Linked DNA regions of Mus musculus. The protein of the gene in region 1 binds, or shares a complex with, the protein of each later gene. Links are inferred from orthologs where the notes say so. Each region holds a gene or a part of one and is shown in the gene's direction. Other genes may lie near its edges. The genes, in order: Fgfr1, Kl, Frs2, Fgf23 and Plcg2.

Region 1 (3,510 bases):
TCCTCACCCTTTTTTCTTCTATGTGTGTGCGTTTCTGTGTATAAGTACTTGTGCCTGTCTGCGGACTTGTGAGATGTTAGGAATGATGTTTCTGACTGAAGTTTTTGATAGTGACAAAAAGAAGGGGCCAGATATTCTCTCTCAGACCAGTATCTGCACGTTGTGCGTGCATGTGTGCGTTTTCGGGATGCTCTGGGGGCTGCTTTTCTTTCCTTGCTGTCCCGTCTGTACCCACTGATTCTCTTTACCTAAAACCAAACAGCCCCCTACCTGCCAGGCCTCATTTCTCCATGCTGCCCACCGCCCGCATGCTTGGCTGGGCCAGTGGCTGCCAGCGTCTGGTGAAGGGTCGTAACCAAGCCGTCGTCTCCTCAGGTCTGCCGGAGAGCCTCCCCTCCAGAGCCTCGCTGTTTTCCTCTAACAGGTCTCGCTGGCTGGTGGTGTGGTTTTTTTGCCTTGTTGCAAAGGAGATGCTGGGGAGCGTTTCTTCTTCTGGTTTTGGTCCCCTCCTCTGTCCCCTCCGTTTCTCCGCCTCTCGGAGGTCTCATGTCCCGGGCTTGTCCATTTTGCTTCCGTCGTCTCTTCTAGACTGCTGGAGTTAATACCACCGACAAGGAAATGGAGGTGCTTCATCTACGGAATGTCTCCTTTGAGGATGCGGGGGAGTATACGTGCTTGGCGGGTAACTCTATCGGACTCTCCCATCACTCTGCATGGTTGACCGTTCTGGAAGGTATACAGTGCACTGGTCCTTTCCGGGTCCTGCCTTTTGCCATGGGAGCAGCGCATCCGTTACAGGGCTGGGGAGAGGCAGAAAGGGACGGCTCCCGTCTGCTGCGTACCCTTTTCTGCTCTGGCTTTGAGGGCCATGCAGGGGGAGTTCCTGGGTTTTCAGGAAGTGACGCGTCAGCCTCCCCTTGCACATGTACATCTGGCTTTCTCCCTGGTCAATGTAATGCATGCGTGAGCCCTGGGTTTACCTTGCAGCAGGGCTTTCTAGCACAGGCTCCTTCCATCCTTGGGTACAGCATCTTCCCTCATCCATTTGGTACAGAGGCTTTGAATGATGGGGTCTTCTTTAGCCAGTCCCACGGAAAGCCATGGGCCTCTCCTCCATGAATACATGCCAATAGGAGCTTACTACGGCTTCCCTGGAGTATTGCTGGCCCACTCTTCATTCTGCTCTGCACTTTGATTGACGTGCCAGGATAGCAAACCTGAGGCCTGTCTTAGCCATTCAGGACATCTGGAAGTGCCCATTGGTCCTCTTAGGATATCCCTCCTGGCCTGCCCTCCCATGTGAGAAGATCTGTGTCAGTGTGCTACCCAGGAAGGAAGGACCCTGTGGCCTTGCCGGGTGGTGGGCTGGTGACCACAGGCTCAGTATGGTCTTACTTGCATGTGGCCTGAGAGCTGCTCTTTCTGTGGCCGCTAAGTGCATACCTTCTCTACTCTTCCCTTCCACCTTGCTTGCCCAGCAGTCTCCCACACTGCCGCTAGCAAAGAAGCATCCTATCTCTACCATCGTCTCTGTCTGTTTAGTCAGTGCTCCCTGTGAGTCTTCATTTCCTGACAGTTGATGGGCGGGGCGGGGCTGGGAGGGGAGGTGGATGATGGACAGACACCAACAGAATACTTCCCTGTGGTCATCAGCTCTGTTGTTTCCTTGTTGGGCTGGGAGGACTCCCAAGGGTATCACTTCGGCTGGCTGAGGTTTTAAAGGGAGGACTGTTGGAGGAAGGCTGCATGCATGCAGGACAAGGAGGTTCCAGTAGGCAGACAATGTTTCTTACGCTGAAGGGAAAGATAGACTGACTAGCAAGTGGGGATGAGTGTGTGTCTTAGCTGGGATCACTATGGCAGCAGTGAAACCCCGAGATCAGCTTGGGAAGGAAAGAGTGCCGGCTGCAACTTGGCTTGCTCAGCCTGCTTGCTTATAGCACCCAGGGCACCTGGATGGCACCACCCACAATGCACTGGGCCCTCCCCCTATCAATCACTAATTAAGAAAATGACCTACAGGCCTGCCTACAGCCTGCTCTTATGGAGGCATTTTCTCCAGTGAGGTTCCCTCCTCTTGGATGACTTTAGCGTGTGTCAAGTTGACAAAAAACTAGCCAGCACTGTATGAATTCTAAATAGAGGTAAAAGAACATAGAAAAATGATTGCCTGGCCCCCATCCCATTTCCTTACCTTTTAAGAATCCTGTGGGACCATGAATAGATTTCTTTTCTTCTTCTTCTTCCTTTTTTTTTTTTTTAAGATTTATTTATTTATTATATATAAGTACACTGTAGCTGTTTTCAGACACACCAGAAGAGGGCATCAGATCTCATTATGGGTGGTTGTGAGCCACCATGTGGTTGCTGGTATTTGAACTCAGGACCTCTGGAAGAGCAGTGAGTGCTCTTAACAGCTGAGCCAACTCTCCAGCCCCATGAATAGGTTTCTTAAAAACATGTTTTTTCACCTAGAGACATATTTAGACACTATATTTACTCAGCCTGTGTTTTAGCTATTTACTGACCTGATCTAACAGAGGTGACGGGTGTTTAGTAATACATGAGATGAGCATTCATTAGAGTCCCACTCTGTCATGTGCTTTGAGGACTATCTGGTCTCTAGGGCATAGCAGCCTGTTTCCATATGATATGTGTGTGCAACATATATGCAGGGTCTTTGGTGCCCTTCCAGTCCAGTGATCAACTATGCAAGTTGGCTCTGGAGTTAGTGAGTGAGTGTTGGGCTTGTTTTGCAGGATAGTCTAGGTTGTATGTACCCTCTATGGGGTTTGAGTTTAAGGATGTTTAAGGATACTTCAGAGGTCCCAAGGTCCTTTGATGCCAGGATCCCAGGGGAGAGGGGCAGGTGCTGGGTTTCTCATGGGGCACACCTCTCGTGAGTGAAGCTTCCCCCCAGCCCCCATGACCTGCTGACACACTGTCCACACTGACCCAGCCCTGGAAGAGAGACCAGCTGTGATGACCTCACCGCTCTACCTGGAGATCATTATCTACTGCACCGGGGCCTTCCTGATCTCCTGCATGTTGGGCTCTGTCATCATCTATAAGATGAAGAGCGGCACCAAGAAGAGCGACTTCCATAGCCAGATGGCTGTGCACAAGCTGGCCAAGAGCATCCCTCTGCGCAGACAGGTAACAGAAAGTAGATGGGGGATTTGCAGGCTCACCACTGTCTTGCCGCCTCCTCTTCCTGGGCCTCTGGGGCCCGCTCCCTTTCCTACCCTCCTGGTTGGCTCCTCATCTCCCACTTTGGACTTCGCTCCAACTTCTGGACCAGACACATTGGAATGTTATAAACCAACTCTGGCTCTATGCCTGTCCACCCTGTACCCCAGCCACAAAGACCTCCCTCTGTCACCTGAGACATGGTGGGAGGAAACGGGTTGGAAGGTGCAGGCGTGTGAAAGATTAATCCTTCCTCAGAAGAGGGCTGACCCAGAAAGGTGCCTTTAGGGACTAGGAATCCGTAAACCCGAGGTGGAGCGT
Region 2 (4,248 bases), on another chromosome or scaffold:
TCTTCCGGTAAGATGGTGACTGCAAGGCTGCATGAAGCGATTTAAAAAAAATTGCTCATTGTTATTTTTTCATTTATTGAGATATTTTAATGACACACTGAATAGAAACGAGGTGTCTTTGTCCCCACCTGGTGACTTCATATCACTAATGGTGATAATGTGTGCTTGCTGGAGTTGAGACTATTTCATCAAGTACTGGAGTAAGTTTACTGTGCTGACATTGTAGCAAGCATCTTCGAATGTAACACTTGTGGCTGTATTGACTTTCTATTTGTGTGGAATTCTGAGGAGGACATCACTCTCAGAGTGCCTGTTCTGCAAGGATGTTACTCATCCCTCTGTGGGCGGGAGGCAGCGGCTGAGTTGTACCTTACTGAGTAGGATGGTGGCATCCTTCATTTTTTCTGGGCTTCCCTTAGGGACTCATCTTAGTGTACATTTGTCCTTTGAGCTTCGAGATGTTTCCCAATGAATGGGACAAAGCCCGTGTATATGTATAGGTATAGGTGTACATTCATACATACATACATACATACACGGCGTGGGGGACAGAAGTCTCCCACCCAGCACTCCTGCCCAGAGACCCCACTTGCTAAGCCAGGGCTGGACGTCAAAACGTGGATATTCATAAGAAGGATGGCAAAGGGTGATGAACGGGATATGGTGCCATGGAAGTTGAAATGTGAGTGGTCTGGAGTTTTTCTTTCTCTTGGAAAACAACTCACAGCTACAACCTCACCAGAGAATCCAGAGGGATCTCATTAAGGAACACTGCTGATTTAAAGGGTTAAAGGGGGATAACGGGGGAGGGAAGAGAAGGGGACGACCCAGGGAAAGGAGAAACAGAAGCCTCACACAACCCATCATTCTTAGACCCACTGTGTGTTCTTGTAGGCTCTGCAGGCTGGGGTCTGAGGCAAGGCGGACTCTCGCCTTCTCTAATGGGATGGGGGACTCTCTTATCAGAAGAAAACTGCCTGAGTACTCTTAAACCTCGCAAAGTTCCACCTGAATTCCCCACCCTGCCTTCCTGCTGTGTTCAGATACAGCAAAGCTCTCCTGGGATGTTCTCTGAAAGATTCCCCTGGATAGAGGGCTCAGAATGGGAGAAAGGGGAAAGCAGGTGATTTTCCCCACTCCCCCACCCCCGAGGCGCCAAACGTTGTGCAAAGTTGGGCAGCTGTTTCTGTCCTCCAGGAACACCAGTCCCAGGAAGGCAAAGGGAGTGGACGCGGGGAGTGGGCGACGCGGGGACATCTCAGGATGGAGGCCACAGGATTGTGCGATGTGGAATAGTCTGCTCCCTGAGCTGGCTGCAGCAGGTGCTTGTTCTCCGACGTCCCTATGACCCCTGCTGTGCTCTCTCTGGGCACCCTGGCTGGCTGAGCCCCTGTCCCGCCCCCGTGCCAGGCCGGAGTGGGGGGCGGCGCCTGCTCTGGATAATCATTGCTCGTGGGGCGGCGGGAGCGGGGGTGGGCACCGCGTAGGGAGGGCGGCGGGGCGCGGGCATATAGGGGCGCGGCGCGGTGCCCTCCCGGCTCCCGCAGCATGCTAGCCCGCGCCCCTCCTCGCCGCCCGCCGCGGCTGGTGCTGCTCCGTTTGCTGTTGCTGCATCTGCTGCTGCTCGCCCTGCGCGCCCGCTGCCTGAGCGCTGAGCCGGGTCAGGGCGCGCAGACCTGGGCTCGCTTCGCGCGCGCTCCTGCCCCAGAGGCCGCTGGCCTCCTCCACGACACCTTCCCCGACGGTTTCCTCTGGGCGGTAGGCAGCGCCGCCTATCAGACCGAGGGCGGCTGGCGACAGCACGGCAAAGGCGCGTCCATCTGGGACACTTTCACCCATCACTCTGGGGCGGCCCCGTCCGACTCCCCGATCGTCGTGGCGCCGTCGGGTGCCCCGTCGCCTCCCCTGTCCTCCACTGGAGATGTGGCCAGCGATAGTTACAACAACGTCTACCGCGACACAGAGGGGCTGCGCGAACTGGGGGTCACCCACTACCGCTTCTCCATATCGTGGGCGCGGGTGCTCCCCAATGGCACCGCGGGCACTCCCAACCGCGAGGGGCTGCGCTACTACCGGCGGCTGCTGGAGCGGCTGCGGGAGCTGGGCGTGCAGCCGGTGGTTACCCTGTACCATTGGGACCTGCCACAGCGCCTGCAGGACACCTATGGCGGATGGGCCAATCGCGCCCTGGCCGACCATTTCAGGGATTATGCCGAGCTCTGCTTCCGCCACTTCGGTGGTCAGGTCAAGTACTGGATCACCATTGACAACCCCTACGTGGTGGCCTGGCACGGGTATGCCACCGGGCGCCTGGCCCCGGGCGTGAGGGGCAGCTCCAGGCTCGGGTACCTGGTTGCCCACAACCTACTTTTGGTGAGTTCGAGGGGCCAGGCAGGGGGCCACCTTGGGGGACAGAGGGCCTCGGAAGTGCCAGAGCCACTTCCAGAAATCCTTACTTGAACCCATTACGAGGTCACACAGGTCTGACACTTTGCAGGCGGAGACACCCCCCCCCCCCCAGCAGCTCTGGGGTTCTCTTCTAGAAGTGGAGTTAGAAACTGGAGCGGAATCCTGCAGCGCGTGCTTTAGGGCCCCTAGAAAAGGACACGGGGCCATTTCTCCACTGAGCAAGCGTTTCTCCCCAGGTGTTGGGAAGTCGAAGTTCCTAGAGGTAATGGCCAGCAAGATTTGTTAGAATCAGCTGCAGAGTCAGAATAAAGACGGTGAATGAAAGCAACACCCGTGTTCACGAGCTGCAAACAGGCATTGCCCGTGCAAGACCTCTGTGTTAATTCAGTAAAACCCGTCTTGCTAGTGACTCAAGGTTATCTAGTTTGGTAGCAGTGTCAAAATCCTTGAACTGTTTGGGTTTAAGCTGTGTTTTGAGGTCCCTTCTGAGGCAGGGCTGGATAGGAACTTCTTTGCCTCTATCACCATGAATTGTCATAGGTCTGAAGACAGTCCCCCCTCCCTGCCCCCCCACACAGTGCAAGATGGACATATAAACACGGGACCATCTACAGGGGGGTGTGCTTATGGCTCTTCCAACATCTGTGTTTCCACAGTGCTCTCTCTAGTTGAAGGGATTCCTCACCGATGAAGTGAGTGACCAAATACAGTCAGTGGTTCTGAACGTCCTGAAGACAGAGGCTCCTTCTAAACACTTTCTAACCAGTCGGGCACTTCAACACTCTAAGCTACAGAGCTAGGCCTGTTCTAAACACTTCTAATTAACCATAGACAATTGTGGCAGAACAGCGCTGGCCTATTGAGTCGATTCTGCGCTCTGGGTAGTGAGATATTGGCTAACTGACATTGTATGTCAGCTTCACAAAACCTGGGTTTGCTCGTGGCTTTGGTTTCATGTAGGTGTGTATTTTTATATACTGTTACTTTTACAATAGTGATTCCTAAGTGTGGTCAATATGCCCATCTTTTAAAGAAACCAACAAGCCCTGGACCAAATCAACCCAGAAGGACTGATGTAGAAAAACCATGGGGGTGGGGGCAGGTGGGTGAACTGAACCATCTTTTGAAGAAAAGACAAATTATCAGTTCCTGCCAGAGAGAGATTAGGGACAAGGATCACTCCTTGAAATTTAAATGATGCAAATTCTAGTGTCTGGAGTACATATGATAAATTCTATGTATGTGAAAGTGGGGGGTTGTAAGTCTGGTGCTCCGTAATCACTTATAGCATGAAGGATTGCATGAACTCTCTGCCGCTCCCTGTCAGTCATGCCTTTAACTTTGCCATTGTATTTCTGGGGAATTACACAAAAATGTTGCCAAACACTAACTGTCCTTTGTAGAAGTGCAGTGGACTTTGTAGCCACAAGACATTAGCAACTGGCAGGCACGTGGCTTATTTTTGCTGGTGCTGCGCTTGAAACCCGAGTTACTGTAAAATATTAATTTTGCTTTTTTAATTCCTCTCGGTTTAGAATTTAGCCAGCCCATTAAATTATTTAGAAGTAAAGCATCACAAACGAATGCCACTGCGAACGATCCTTTTCTTTTGCTCTGGGTGCTGATCGTTGGTGTTTGTGTGACGGGGTTGAGGAGTTCTTACTTTATCTGAAAAAGTCAAGATGTGCAGATTTTGGAAACCGGCGCTTTTGGTTTCGATACTGGTTGTTTTGGGAAGAGCTGGGGGCCGCTGAGCCCTTTGAGTATTAGTTTGCATCCCAGAGTGGAATGCTGGGAAACCAACCCTTTTCCCCTGCTCTGAGACTGATCTACAGGTGT
Region 3 (4,182 bases), on another chromosome or scaffold:
CATTGTTTGCATCTTAAATTTGTAATAAGGGGTTTTCTTTTACTCTGCCTTTCTCAAAGCAGATTGTCTTAACACTTGTCCCTGCAGTATTTAACAGACACTATGCATGCTAAGAAACTCTTTTCTTTTTTGCTCTTCCTTTTTTCCTCCTCCTCTCCTTCTTTTTGGACAAGAGTCTTGCTTCATAGTCCTGGCCACCTTTGTCTGGAAACTCACTGTAAAGCTTAGGCTGGCTAGAAACTCTCCGGACTCTCCCTGCCTCAGCCTTTTTAGACTGCTGGAAACAAAATAGCTTGTCAGGTTTGAGCCCTTTTCTTCCATGTGGGGCTTTGCTTCATACTGAAAACCTGCCTTTAATATTTGATGTTTCTTGATTTTGTGACAGAGCAAATCTTTTAAGATCGTCTCACTTCTTTGCCTGACACTGACTCTGTAGGCTCTCATACTGTCTGTCTTTGGTAAGTTTCAAAAGTGCCCAGGTCTTCTCTATTGCTAGTTACTGGTTAGGTATAAGAATTGTGCGGACGTACTCAGTCCTGGGTACTTTGAAATGCTTACTATTGCGTTATGCATTATATTATTTTTAACGTCTACAATCCAGAGATGAACACGACACACACACACACCAGGGTGAAATGTAAAGAAACAGGATCCTGGCACTAAGATTGCATAGCCCATCATCTCAGCCTTTGTTTAAAGTGCAAAGGATGACCCATATAGGGAAATAATTTGGCTCCCGTCTTTGAATAATTTGAAAAGTCTTGTTTGGGGCAAATGAGAGTTCTACGCATACCACAAATTAAAGTAAAACCAAGAGCCAGCATATGTGGTAAAGTCCGATACTTTGGCCGATTTCCTTCTCTGTAAGACACAGAGAATAAAAGCACCAATTTCCAGGAGTTTGAAGGTTATTAAATGAGTTAACGCCACCGAATCGCGTAATAAATGCCCTGTCTACCACGCCGTAAGCCTTCCTTCGATAAATGTCAACTGCATTTTCACGCGGGACAGAAGCGAGAAAGGATAACACCGCCGGCCGGTCGGCAAGCCGGTGAATGCTCCGGGCTCGGCGAAATTAGATTCTCCGGGCCCCTGTAGAATTAAGTAGAAGGGAGCGATCCTAACAGGCGTTAAAATAAGGGGTGCCAGCGGTAGCTCGGGGCCCGCGGGACCACAGGGGTTAGCAAGGAGCCCGGGGGCGGGGCTCGGGGGCGGGTCCGCTGGCGCCCGGAGCAGAGGCCACGCCCCTCCCGGGAGGGCTGGCAGCTCCAGCCTGGGAGCAGTTCCGGTGCCAAACCCCTGCCCTCCCCCGCTCCCCCGGAAGTGCTTGTCTAGGGTTCGGGCTGGAGAGAGGCCTTGTAGACACAGGCGCCGAGGCTCCGAGCAGGGGGTCAGGTCGCGGGGAGAGTGAGGAGCTCCGCGGCTGCCACCCCGCGCCCCTCGCAGCGCCTTCGCGCCGACGGTGAGTAGCCGGGGACGCCGAGCGGGGCCTGCGCTGGGCGAGCGAGCCTCGGACCCGGCTGTCCGCTGCAGGTTCAGCCGTCGGGGATCCGGGGAAGGGGTTCGTCGGCCGCCGCGGAGCGCGCGCGGCCCGCGGGCCGGGAAGGGGCGCGATGCGGGGCCGCGGAGTGGGCGGGGCGCAGCCGGAGCGGGGTTCCCGGAGCCGCGGCCGCCCGCAGAGGGGGGACTCCGTAGCGGGGCCCGGCCGTCGGCGCTGCGACCCCCTCTCTGCATCGGGCAAGTGGGCTCGGTGCCTCCGCTGTGGGGTCTGTGCACTCGGACGCTGGGGACCGGGACAGCCAGACTGCACTGGACATCAGTGTCCAACTTTCGTCGCCTCTTGGATCTGTCCCCTCTTCCCGTCTCAGTAATTATCCTGTGTCCCAGGGGTGTAGTCAGTCCGAGGGTGGGGCGCTCCCTGTGTGGATGCTGGCGATCTCTTGCGGGGCTTGCGTCGGGGTCGCCGGAGGTTCGATTTGGACTCGGCTCGAAACTTAACTGGGTCTGGATGCCTGCGTAGGGTCGGTCAGTGAGGCAGTACCATTCCTCGAAGGGTCTTTGCTCCCTTGCAAACTGAAACTGTTGGGAGTTACTTCTTAAAAACAAAGATTTGAGGAGATTCGTAGATTCAGAGGAGTTTCCCCGTGTTCTTGCTGACGTTAAAAAAAAAAAAAAAACCATGCTATTCTGTAATCAGCCTTCCGAATTCCTGCGCTCATCCGAAGTCACAGTTGTTAAGACTTCAGTCGGGACCTTGCACAAGTTGACTGCAAAAGGCTGGAGAATTGTATCCTTTTTTTTCACCCCAGTTTGTTTACTTTCATACTTGGAACTGTCATTTCTTGAGCTAATTATATATATGTGTATATATGTGTGTATATACACACACACACACACATATACACACACACATATATATACACACACATATGTATGTATATTATATGTATATATATATATATATATATATATATATATATATATATAATTTCCCTCAGTTTCTCCTCGGAGGTTCTTCGTGTAGTCCAGTTGTGGGAACGCGGGGTGGGGGTGTTCCCACAGCGGGACAGAGGTGTTTGTTGATTTAAGCATATGAAGTGTTTAACTCCAATAAACTGAGACTTTCCTAGAGAAGAAAATCTTGTAGGCACTGTTAGTAAACTGAGTTTAGGTGATAAACTACGGATAAAAGGTTTGTAGGAAATAATGGAGCTATTTTCCGCTTTTATTGAGTTTTAAATTATTATCAGATAGTTTATTTGTTGCAAATGACCTTGTGGTGGTGTCAATATACACAAGTCATCTTCATGAAACCAGTGACATTATCTGCCCTTATTATGCTTACGTTAGGATTTATACTGTTTCTCTCTCTCTCTCTCTCTCTCTCTCTCTCTCTCTCTCTCTCTCTCTCGTACTTTCTCTTTCGACTACTGGAAGGGAAGATATCATGAATGAGGGGAATGATTTGAAGTGACGAGTTGCATATACTGTCTTATGCAAAAGAAAAGTTTATTTCATTAAAAAACAAATTCTCTGTGTGTGTAATGCCAGAGGTGAACCTAGACTACCCAGCACCATGATCATGATGATCCTTTTGAGACAGGGTCTCCTGAGCCTGGAGCTTGTACTTCCGGCTGGGCTGCTTGGCCAGCAAGCCCCAGGGACCGTCCTGTGTTTGCCCCATGTCCCCAGTCCAGGTCTACTGGTTATCGGCACATGGCCCAGCATCTAGTTTATAATGGAGGTGCTGTCGGTGCCAGTTCAGGTTCTCTCACTTTCTCAGTCAGCAAGCACTCGACGTGGGAGCAGTCTCCCCAGCCCCTCAAATCTCTGTCAAGGTTGTTGATAATAAACAAAGGGGGTGTTTTTCTAGCCCGTGGGAAAGTGTGAGTGAAGATAAGTTGTAGTGTTTAGACTCGGAATGATGCGGTAGCCCCTTAGTGTTTGAAGAACTCAGTTGTTCAGAGCCCAAGATTGGGATGTTGAATTAAAGTCTGGAAAATGAGTCAAGTTAGGTTTGATTATGTATTTGTTCTCTGGTTATAGTGTGTTTTGAAGGGAAAAAAGTATGGGAGTTATAAAAGCAAAAAAAGGGAATTGGTAAAAATCAAATACTTTCGGGCATTATAACTTTTAACTATTGCTCAAGTCAATTCAAATGACATTGAGCATTTTCTATGCGTCAGACTCTTTAGTGAACCATGTAGGGAAAACAAAGCCAAAGCCATTAGAACTTGGGATTCATGTTTTGATAATTTTCCAAGTGTGTTGAAATTGTGAAGACTTGAATTGCACTGTCTAGGAATGCTAAACCTCCCCTGGATTGGGACTTAATGGGAGGGGGGGGGGCTGTTGAGTGCTTCACGAAGAACCGGTGCTAGGCATGCTGCCTCACCAAGAGGAAGCTGGGCTGTGGAATGTGAACCTAGTGGGATGTAAGATACTTGTACAAAAGTTTACAGTATAAGTAAGTATCTGTCTGAATGTGGTGTCATGCTTGCAGTGGCAAAGGAGTGGCAAGGTGACCCTGTTCACAACAAAAGACTCTGAAAGCAAAAAGTGTGTGTAAATCCTTAACCACATAGATGGGCTTATCTGAAGTTTGCACTTGTACAAAAGTGAAGTGTTTGTTATAACTTAGGTCACGTGTCACAGTTGAGACGGGAACACTTACGGGTGTGG
Region 4 (3,458 bases), on another chromosome or scaffold:
CCCAGCTACTTGGTTGTCTGAGGCAGGAGAACTGAAAGTTCGAGGTCTCCCTCTACACATCAGAACTCACGACCATTTTGGATAACTGTGAGGTTCTGCCTCAAAAAAAAGAAAGGAAGGAAGGAAGGAAGGAAGGAAGAAGAGGAAAGAAAAAAGAAAAGAAAGAAAGAAGAAAGGAAGGAAGGGAGGAGAAAAAAGAAAGAAAAAGAAGAAAGAAGAAAAGAAAACACAAAGGAGCAAAGATAAAAGCTGGGAATGTATCTCAGTGGTAAAGTACTTTCATAGCGTCGGTGAAATCTAGTCAAACCCCGGGAAGGAGATAGAGGGACGAGGGGGCAGGGGTTGAAGATGAATGTTAGTCTAGTCCTCCCTGCAGATAATAGAGACAGACAGAGATATAAACAGAATGAATGGATATGAATATGAATGAGAATAGGAATGTTTAGTTCTCCCTGCGGCGGGCACTGAACAAGAAGAACGTCATCAGGTCTTTCTAGGCACTGCCCCAGCAAGCTGGGCACGCTAGCCCAAGGTCTCCCGGAAGTGCCCTCCAGAGCCCTAATAGCAGCCACTCTCCTGAAGCCTGAGCCAAGTTCAGCTCTTTCCTAAGAGGGAGGTGCAGAGCTGGGCTGAGCATCACCCCCTAGCGGAGCGCCGGCCCTCAACTTCTTGTGTTTCCTTTCTCTTACAGCTTCACTTCAGCCCAGAGAATTGCAAGTTCCGCCAGTGGACGCTGGAGAATGGCTATGACGTCTACTTGTCGCAGAAGCATCACTACCTGGTGAGCCTGGGCCGCGCCAAGCGCATCTTCCAGCCGGGCACCAACCCGCCGCCCTTCTCCCAGTTCCTGGCTCGCAGGAACGAGGTCCCGCTGCTGCATTTCTACACTGTTCGCCCACGGCGCCACACGCGCAGCGCCGAGGACCCACCGGAGCGCGACCCACTGAACGTGCTCAAGCCGCGGCCCCGCGCCACGCCTGTGCCTGTATCCTGCTCTCGCGAGCTGCCGAGCGCAGAGGAAGGTGGCCCCGCAGCCAGCGATCCTCTGGGGGTGCTGCGCAGAGGCCGTGGAGATGCTCGCGGGGGCGCGGGAGGCGCGGATAGGTGTCGCCCCTTTCCCAGGTTCGTCTAGGTCCCCAGGCCAGGCTGCGTCCGCCTCCATCCTCCAGTCGGTTCAGCCCACGTAGAGGAAGGACTAGGGTACCTCGAGGATGTCTGCTTCTCTCCCTTCCCTATGGGCCTGAGAGTCACCTGCGAGGTTCCAGCCAGGCACCGCTATTCAGAATTAAGAGCCAACGGTGGGAGGCTGGAGAGGTGGCGCAGACAGTTCTCAGCACCCACAAATACCTGTAATTCTAGCTCCAGGGGAATCTGTACTCACACACACACACATCCACACACACACACACACACATACATGTAATTTTAAATGTTAATCTGATTTAAAGACCCCAACAGGTAAACTAGACACGAAGCTCTTTTTATTTTATTTTACTAACAGGTAAACCAGACACTTGGCCTTTATTAGCCGGGTCTCTTGCCTAGCATTTTAATCGATCAGTTAGCACGAGGAAAGAGTTCACGCCTTGAACACAGGGAAGAGGCCATCTCTGCAGCTTCTAGTTACTATTCTGGGATTCACGGGTGTTTGAGTTTGAGCACCTTGACCTTAATGTCTTCACTAGGCAAGTCGAAGAAAGACGCGCATTTCTTCTCTTTGGGAAGAGCTTTGGATTGGCGGGAGGCTGACAAGGACACCTAAACCGAACACATTTCAGAGTTCAGCCTCCCTGAGGAATGATTCGCCAATGATTCTGTGATAGGACCAGTCAGTAGCTTTTGAATTTGCCCTGGCTCAGCAAAGTCTACCTTGCTAGGGTGTTTTGCAAAATGCAAACGCTCGAACTCTCTCTAAAGAGGCATTTTTAGTGAAAGCCTCCGCTAGCAGGTTGACTTGTAATATATTCTAAGCGAATGTGCCCGGGGTGGGGGTGGAGGTGGGGTGGGGGAGAAGGGTCCTTGAGACCTCGGATTGTTCTAGGTTAGGGTTTCTGTGAAGAGGAAAGGGAAAAAAGAGGTTTTTTTTTTTTTGTTTTGTTTTGTTTTTTTGTTTTTTTGTTTTTTTTAAGTTTGTTTTTGTTTTCCTAAGTAAAATGGGATCCAGGATTAGCTAGGTAGAGTCAGGGGAGGACTCCTGCAGGAGCTAACCCCAAAATGGCAGCTACTCTTGGGAACTTTTAGGGCATTAAACAAAGACATCTTTCATTTGTCCCAGAAACTCCAGGGCTGTCCTGGGGTGAGCATAGCCTCACAGTGAACAGCAAGAAGTGTTAGGCAGGCTTTAAGGTTCTCCCCGCTTCTGCACCTTAGCTGGTAATCGACTTCAACAAAGGGCACCTCCTGTCTACCTCTATTTAAATGAGAATCAGAAGGGCACAGTAATGGCCCAGTCCTTCAGACAGCTTTGAGTTTTCCACTGTCTTCCTGTACACAGCCTTAGAAATGGATCCACTGCTCTTGCTTGTCAGATGAACAGCAGGCAACAATAGCAGGCAACTCGGCCAGTTCCACCCCTGAAGTACTAACGCTGTGCACAGCAGTAGATGCCATGAACCCCAACCCTTTTCCGCACTGGCTTTCACTTCCCATTGGGGTACTAGCCTGTACACCAGCTACCAGAAGCCTCCCCACTGAGGCAACCACGTGGGAAACCCCAGAAAGAACTTGAGTAGCAAACTGGCTGTAAACTCACAAGCCCAGAACCACCGCGGGGCTTTCTTTTTTGGCAGAGCCAAGGTCATCTTGTAATTCCTTAGGTCCCTTCACATGTGGCAATATTTATTTATTTATTTGAAAGATTTTTGCCTATCACTCTATATTTATAGTTATTTATAAAATCTAACCCCACTTCTGTCCTTGTGTTTTAAATAAAAATAAGACTTCTCTCAGCTTCTGTCTCTTGTCCTCTTTGTGTGACTGCATAAATGCATGTTGAGACACACGAGTAAAATTGGAAAATCTGGGGGAAACAGAATAGGAAAAGGAAAAAGAATTTGAAAAAGACACACTGGCATAACCATACTGAAATCTCAGTTAACCAGACATAAATCGTATTAATCTTCAGTTAACCAGATACACATCATAGTAGCATTCCTTCACTATTAACATAGAGTGGGCCTGATCAATTTATGAAGATAAAAGGTTTGAGCCACACTTTAGAAGGTCTAGTCCACAACGCAGAAGGCAGCTGCTCTCAGGTCTGTGGCAGCTCATCAGCACATTGTGGTGGGAACCTGTGGCAGAGGAAAGCCACTTACTTGCAGAAAAAGAGGCTGAGGCCCAACTAGTCTGTACACCCCCAGTGACCTAAGGACCTCTCACGAAGCCCCACCTCTTACCTTACCTCCCACCAGCACCACCGGCTGGTGACCAGACCTTCCACATGTGAGGGGAGGTAA
Region 5 (3,510 bases), about 92 Mb from region 1:
TGGATTCAGCAAGCAGGCTAGGCTGGCTGACCAGCGAGCTCTGGGGATCCTCCTGCAAGCCTGCATACTGAGATTACACAGTACCATACCTGGCTCTCTTCTCTTCTCTTCTCTTCTCTTCTCTTCTCTTCTCTTCTCTTCTCTTCTCTTCTCTTCTCTTCTCCTTTCCTATCCTTTCTTTTCTTTTTTTCTTTCTTTCGTCTTTCTTTCTTTCTTTCTTTCTTTTTTATAACTTGTGGACTCGAACTCAGGTTTACATAGTTGGCACTTTACAGAGTTGGCCACCACCCTATCCCTTCAGTGTCTTTTCTTTTTAAAGATTTATTCATTATTATACATAAGTACATTGTAGCTGACTTCTGACACACCAGAAGAGGGCATCAGATCTCATTACAGATGGTTATGAGCCACCATGTGGTTGCTGGGATTTGAACTCAGGACCTTTGGAAGAGCAGTCAGTGTTCTTACCTGCTGAGCCATCTTGCCAACCCTCATGGCCTTTTCAAGAGAGTTCTGGTCTCTTTTTGTCACCTGGGCCTTCTGCCATCACATCCAGAAGTATGGTTGACTGTCTCCTCTGTCTTAGTCAGTGCTCTATTGCTTTGAAGAGACATAACCATGCAACTCTTACAGAGTAAAACATCTAATTGGAGACTTGCTTACAGGTTCAGCGGTTTAGTCCATTGTAATCAGGGTGGGAAGCATGCAGGCAGACTTGGTGTTAAAGAGGTGCCTGAGAGGTCTACATCTGCATCCTCAGGTAGCAGGAGGACAGAGAGAGCTATGGGGTCACGCTTGGGCCCTTGAAACCTCAAAGCTCATCCCTGTGACATACTTCCTCCAACAAGGTCACACCTACTCCAATGAGGCCACATCTCTGAATAGTGCCCCTCCCTGGTGACCAAGTATTTAAATCTTTGAGCCTATAGGAGCTGTTCTTATTCAAAGGATCATATCCTCTCTGCAGAAAATCCCGACTTCCGAGAAATCCGCTCTTTTGTGGAGACGAAGGCAGACAGCATTGTCAGGCAAAAACCTGTCGATCTATTGCGATACAATCAGAAGGGCCTGACCCGAGTCTACCCCAAGGGACAGAGAGTTGACTCTTCGAACTATGACCCCTTCCGTCTGTGGCTGTGCGGCTCCCAGATGGTGGCACTCAATTTCCAGACTCCAGGTAAGGGATGAAGGCAGCCAGTCTGTCCAGGCTAGGTGGTGGCCCTGTCATGGCCAGCAATGTCACTTGGGCAGCTAGTGGGATGTGATTGTTTCTGAACAAGTGACTGGGCTGGCCCGTCAAGGTTGAACTTGGATGCTGGTTAGTACAAGGCCCTAGGGACTGACAAAGGGGACAGTGGACATATGGCTGAAGCAGGCTCGGTGACCACGAGTGACAGAGAGGTATTATGACCATTCTGGTTTAGGAAGGGAATGTAATAACTTATTGAACTAGTAAGTGTTGTTTTTAAAACAACATCCCAAACATCTGATTTACCAAATGAAGACTCAGGAGCAAGATGCTGGGGTGAAAGCATCTTGCTAGCTCAGAGAGGCAGAGAGAGCACCCAGCTGACTGATGCCCCAGAAGGAAAAGGCTCCTTCTCCATGTTGTCTTAAACACCCTTCAACTCACAGACCCTCTTCTCCTTCTCCTGGCTTCTCTTATGTTCACTCCCTGTCAACTGGTTGCTTGCTTTGCCTCTTGACCTATGGTTGATTTAATTTAATCCTCTTTACACAAAGCTCTTGGGTCAAAGGTGTGCGCTAGGGCTGAGCCACACCACAACAAGAAAAGGTTTTTCCAGTTGACAATCTCGGGGCTTACAGTGTGATCAAATATCCTGCAACAGGTAGGTAAGTCTCAGAGGGACTGATGGATCCAGGTGTGACTGGATCCAAGCTCTCAGTGGCTGCCTTACCTCTTTGTGCGCTTTCTCTCCAAGGGCTTCATGCCTACCCTCTCTAGACTCTTATATAGTTGGGAAAACCCACGCACACAAATTTTAGACGTTGCATCCTGTGAATTCGTTTGTTCGTTTCTCTTATTTATTTAACAACTACACCCACCTCAGCTCTAGGAATCTGTAGGTCAGGTCCCATCCCTGTCTACCGCAGATGCCACTGCCTCCTGGACCCGTGGCTCTTGTTCCCAAGAGTGGGTGCACAGTGTGGGGCAGACATTTCTTACTGCTGAGGAATCCTCCCCCTAGCCAACCCCCGGACCACTGGGCACCTGTGTCCTGAGGCACTTGCCCAGTTCCTCCTCTAGAGCATGGGCACACTCCTTCAGCATAGGTCACTACTGTAGTTTCACGAAGCTCACCTGCTCTTGGCTCCTCAGGGAGAAAACTGACTTGTCCTTACAATTTCTGCTCAAGGCTCTGCTCTTTGAGTAACATTAACTCTTTCCCCTCTCACCAAGTCAAGGGATGTTTGCCATTTGTTTCCCTGCAAAGCGGTGGGTCCTCTTGGTATCCCACCAAGCTGGCTTTTTATTGATAGTGCTAACTATCTACCTGTTGTGTGAACTGAGATTATGTGTGGGTGTGCTTGCCATGGTCCACACGTGATGGTCAGAGGACAGGGCATGCGTGCCATGAAACATGCGTGGAGGTCAGAGGAATAGGGCATACATAGATTGCACACGTGTGTGGAGGTTGGAGGACAGGGTGCTTATGCCATGGTCCACACTTGAAGGCCAGAGGAACAGGGTGTCTATGTCATGGAACACACGTGGAGGTCTGAGGACAGCTGGTAGAGTCTTTCCTTCTATCTTTATGTGATTCTGGAGGCCACACTCAGGTCGGTGGCTTTATCTACTTGCCGAGTCACCTGTCCCTTGAACCCTGTGATTTACCCTGTGGTGTAAGCAAGCGTTCTACCCCTGGCCTGCACCCAGTTTCAGTAGATTCTAATTCCTTAAGGCTTACACCTCTCCAGACTCCCTGTAAGATGGTTTCCTGGTGCGGGATTCTTTCCTAACGCTCCCCATGTTTCCCTGGAGTCAGATGTCTTTTCTGAACCGCTTCCCCCCCCCCCCCCCAGTCAGTGCAGGAAGGTCACGTGGCCTGTGCCCATGTGCGCCCGGAGCTGGTGTTCCCTGGCTGCCCCCACAGCGCCCTTCGGCTCTCTTTTCAGACAAATACATGCAGATGAACCACGCGCTGTTTTCGCTCAATGGGCGAACAGGCTACGTCCTGCAGCCTGAGAGCATGCGCTCTGAGAAGTATGATCCGATGCCCCTGGAGTCCCAGAGGAAGATCCTGATGACACTCACTGTCAAGGTAGAGGGGGCTCCCTGGGGGGCGCTCTTGTCCTGTTAATCCAGCACCATCTCAACTGCAACCTCATGTGGTTCACCTGGGGTCATTCTGGGCTGAAAACCCTTCCTGTCACTTGCCCTAGTCTGGGTGTGACGTATGCTCTTGGGGTTCATGTGAGGTCAACCTCTAGCCGAGAGGAGAGTTCATTTCTCCTTTGTCTTAGAGAGGTCACAGCTTACTCTTTCTC

Evidence for each region.
Region 2: the proteins of Fgfr1 (region 1) and Kl are in contact, whole or in part, in a cryo-EM structure (PDB 7YSH), measured with the Homo sapiens proteins. The link is inferred for Mus musculus from reciprocal best matches to the Homo sapiens genes FGFR1 and KL. Residues at the interface, in NP_075598.2 of Homo sapiens: Asn272, Gln288, Leu290, His292, Ile293, Asn296, Gly301, Pro302, Leu305, Pro306, Tyr307, Val308, Gln309, Ile310, Leu311, Lys312, Glu322, Leu326, His327, Leu328, Arg329, Asn330, Glu334, Asp335, Thr340, Leu342, Leu349, His351; in NP_004786.2 of Homo sapiens: Ser539, Gln540, Phe541, Asp543, Leu544, Asn545, Val546, Tyr547, Leu548, Trp549, Asp550, Val551, Lys555, Arg556, Leu557, Val560, Val563, Thr565, Lys566, Arg568, Tyr571, Val573, Ala576, Glu625, Arg628.
Region 3: the proteins of Fgfr1 (region 1) and Frs2 are in contact, whole or in part, in an NMR structure (PDB 1XR0), measured with the Homo sapiens proteins. The link is inferred for Mus musculus from reciprocal best matches to the Homo sapiens genes FGFR1 and FRS2. Residues at the interface, in NP_075598.2 of Homo sapiens: His409, Ser410, Gln411, Met412, Ala413, Val414, His415, Lys416, Leu417, Ala418, Lys419, Ser420, Ile421, Pro422, Leu423, Arg424, Arg425, Gln426, Val427, Thr428, Val429, Ser430; in NP_001036020.1 of Homo sapiens: Asn25, Val26, Asp27, Asp28, Leu33, Leu47, Thr49, Arg50, Asp53, Ser54, Val55, Trp57, Leu60, Cys61, Leu62, Arg63, Arg64, Tyr65, Gly66, Tyr67, Asp68, Ser69, Leu71, Ser73, Phe74, Gln81, Thr82, Ile86, Phe87, Ala88.
Region 4: the proteins of Fgfr1 (region 1) and Fgf23 are in contact, whole or in part, in a cryo-EM structure (PDB 7YSH), measured with the Homo sapiens proteins. The link is inferred for Mus musculus from reciprocal best matches to the Homo sapiens genes FGFR1 and FGF23. Residues at the interface, in NP_075598.2 of Homo sapiens: Glu159, Lys160, Glu162, Lys163, Lys164, Leu165, His166, Ala167, Val168, Pro169, Lys172, Gln244, Asp246, Val248, Glu249, Arg250, Ser251, Pro252, Val279, Tyr280, Ser281, Asp282, Pro283, Gln284, Pro285, His286, Ile287, Ala314, Gly315, Val316; in NP_065689.1 of Homo sapiens: Leu31, Leu32, Gly33, Ser34, Trp36, Gly37, Tyr43, Ala45, Thr46, Ala47, Arg48, Asn49, Ser50, His52, His66, Ile75, Arg76, Ser77, Glu78, Asp79, Ala80, Gly81, Val83, Val84, Tyr93, Phe108, His117, Gln118, Thr119, Asn122.
Region 5: the proteins of Fgfr1 (region 1) and Plcg2 are in contact, whole or in part, in a cryo-EM structure (PDB 8JQI), measured with the Homo sapiens proteins. The link is inferred for Mus musculus from reciprocal best matches to the Homo sapiens genes FGFR1 and PLCG2. Residues at the interface, in NP_075598.2 of Homo sapiens: Lys504, Asn506, His541, Lys542, Lys598, Ser602, Tyr605, Gln606, Arg609, Glu612, Tyr613, Ser616, Lys617, Lys748, Asp755, Arg756, Val758, Ser762, Gln764, Glu765, Tyr766, Leu767, Asp768, Leu769; in NP_001412678.1 of Homo sapiens: Phe528, Arg540, Thr568, Phe569, Pro570, Asn571, Phe577, His585, Cys586, Arg587, Arg589, Ser590, Thr591, Met592, Gly595, Leu601, Thr602, Asn604, Leu622, Arg623, Cys624, Ala625, Glu626, Phe627, Glu738.

What each region holds. Positions count from the first base shown.
Region 1 is NC_000074.6:25,563,752-25,567,261, forward strand, and holds part of Fgfr1 (fibroblast growth factor receptor 1 isoform 1 precursor), read left to right. Parts: intron 1-588; coding exon 589-733; intron 734-2,959; coding exon 2,960-3,162; intron 3,163-3,510. UniProt on the Homo sapiens protein: Tyrosine-protein kinase that acts as a cell-surface receptor for fibroblast growth factors and plays an essential role in the regulation of embryonic development, cell proliferation, differentiation and migration.
Region 2 is NC_000071.6:150,951,169-150,955,416, forward strand, and holds the start of Kl (klotho precursor), read left to right. Parts: upstream 1-1,438; 5' UTR 1,439-1,548; coding exon 1,549-2,373; intron 2,374-4,248. UniProt on the Homo sapiens protein: May have weak glycosidase activity towards glucuronylated steroids. However, it lacks essential active site Glu residues at positions 239 and 872, suggesting it may be inactive as a glycosidase in vivo.
Region 3 is NC_000076.6:117,145,672-117,149,853, reverse strand, and holds the start of Frs2 (fibroblast growth factor receptor substrate 2), read left to right. Parts: upstream 1-1,379; 5' UTR 1,380-1,462; intron 1,463-4,182. UniProt on the Homo sapiens protein: Adapter protein that links activated FGR and NGF receptors to downstream signaling pathways.
Region 4 is NC_000072.6:127,079,347-127,082,804, forward strand, and holds the end of Fgf23 (fibroblast growth factor 23 precursor), read left to right. Parts: intron 1-691; coding exon 692-1,132; 3' UTR 1,133-1,685; coding exon of another isoform or gene 1,686-1,820; 3' UTR 1,821-2,950; downstream 2,951-3,458. UniProt on the Homo sapiens protein: Regulator of phosphate homeostasis. Inhibits renal tubular phosphate transport by reducing SLC34A1 levels. Up-regulates EGR1 expression in the presence of KL. Acts directly on the parathyroid to decrease PTH secretion. Regulator of vitamin-D metabolism.
Region 5 is NC_000074.6:117,609,766-117,613,275, forward strand, and holds part of Plcg2 (1-phosphatidylinositol 4,5-bisphosphate phosphodiesterase gamma-2), read left to right. Parts: intron 1-967; coding exon 968-1,177; intron 1,178-3,138; coding exon 3,139-3,284; intron 3,285-3,510. UniProt on the Homo sapiens protein: The production of the second messenger molecules diacylglycerol (DAG) and inositol 1,4,5-trisphosphate (IP3) is mediated by activated phosphatidylinositol-specific phospholipase C enzymes. It is a crucial enzyme in transmembrane signaling.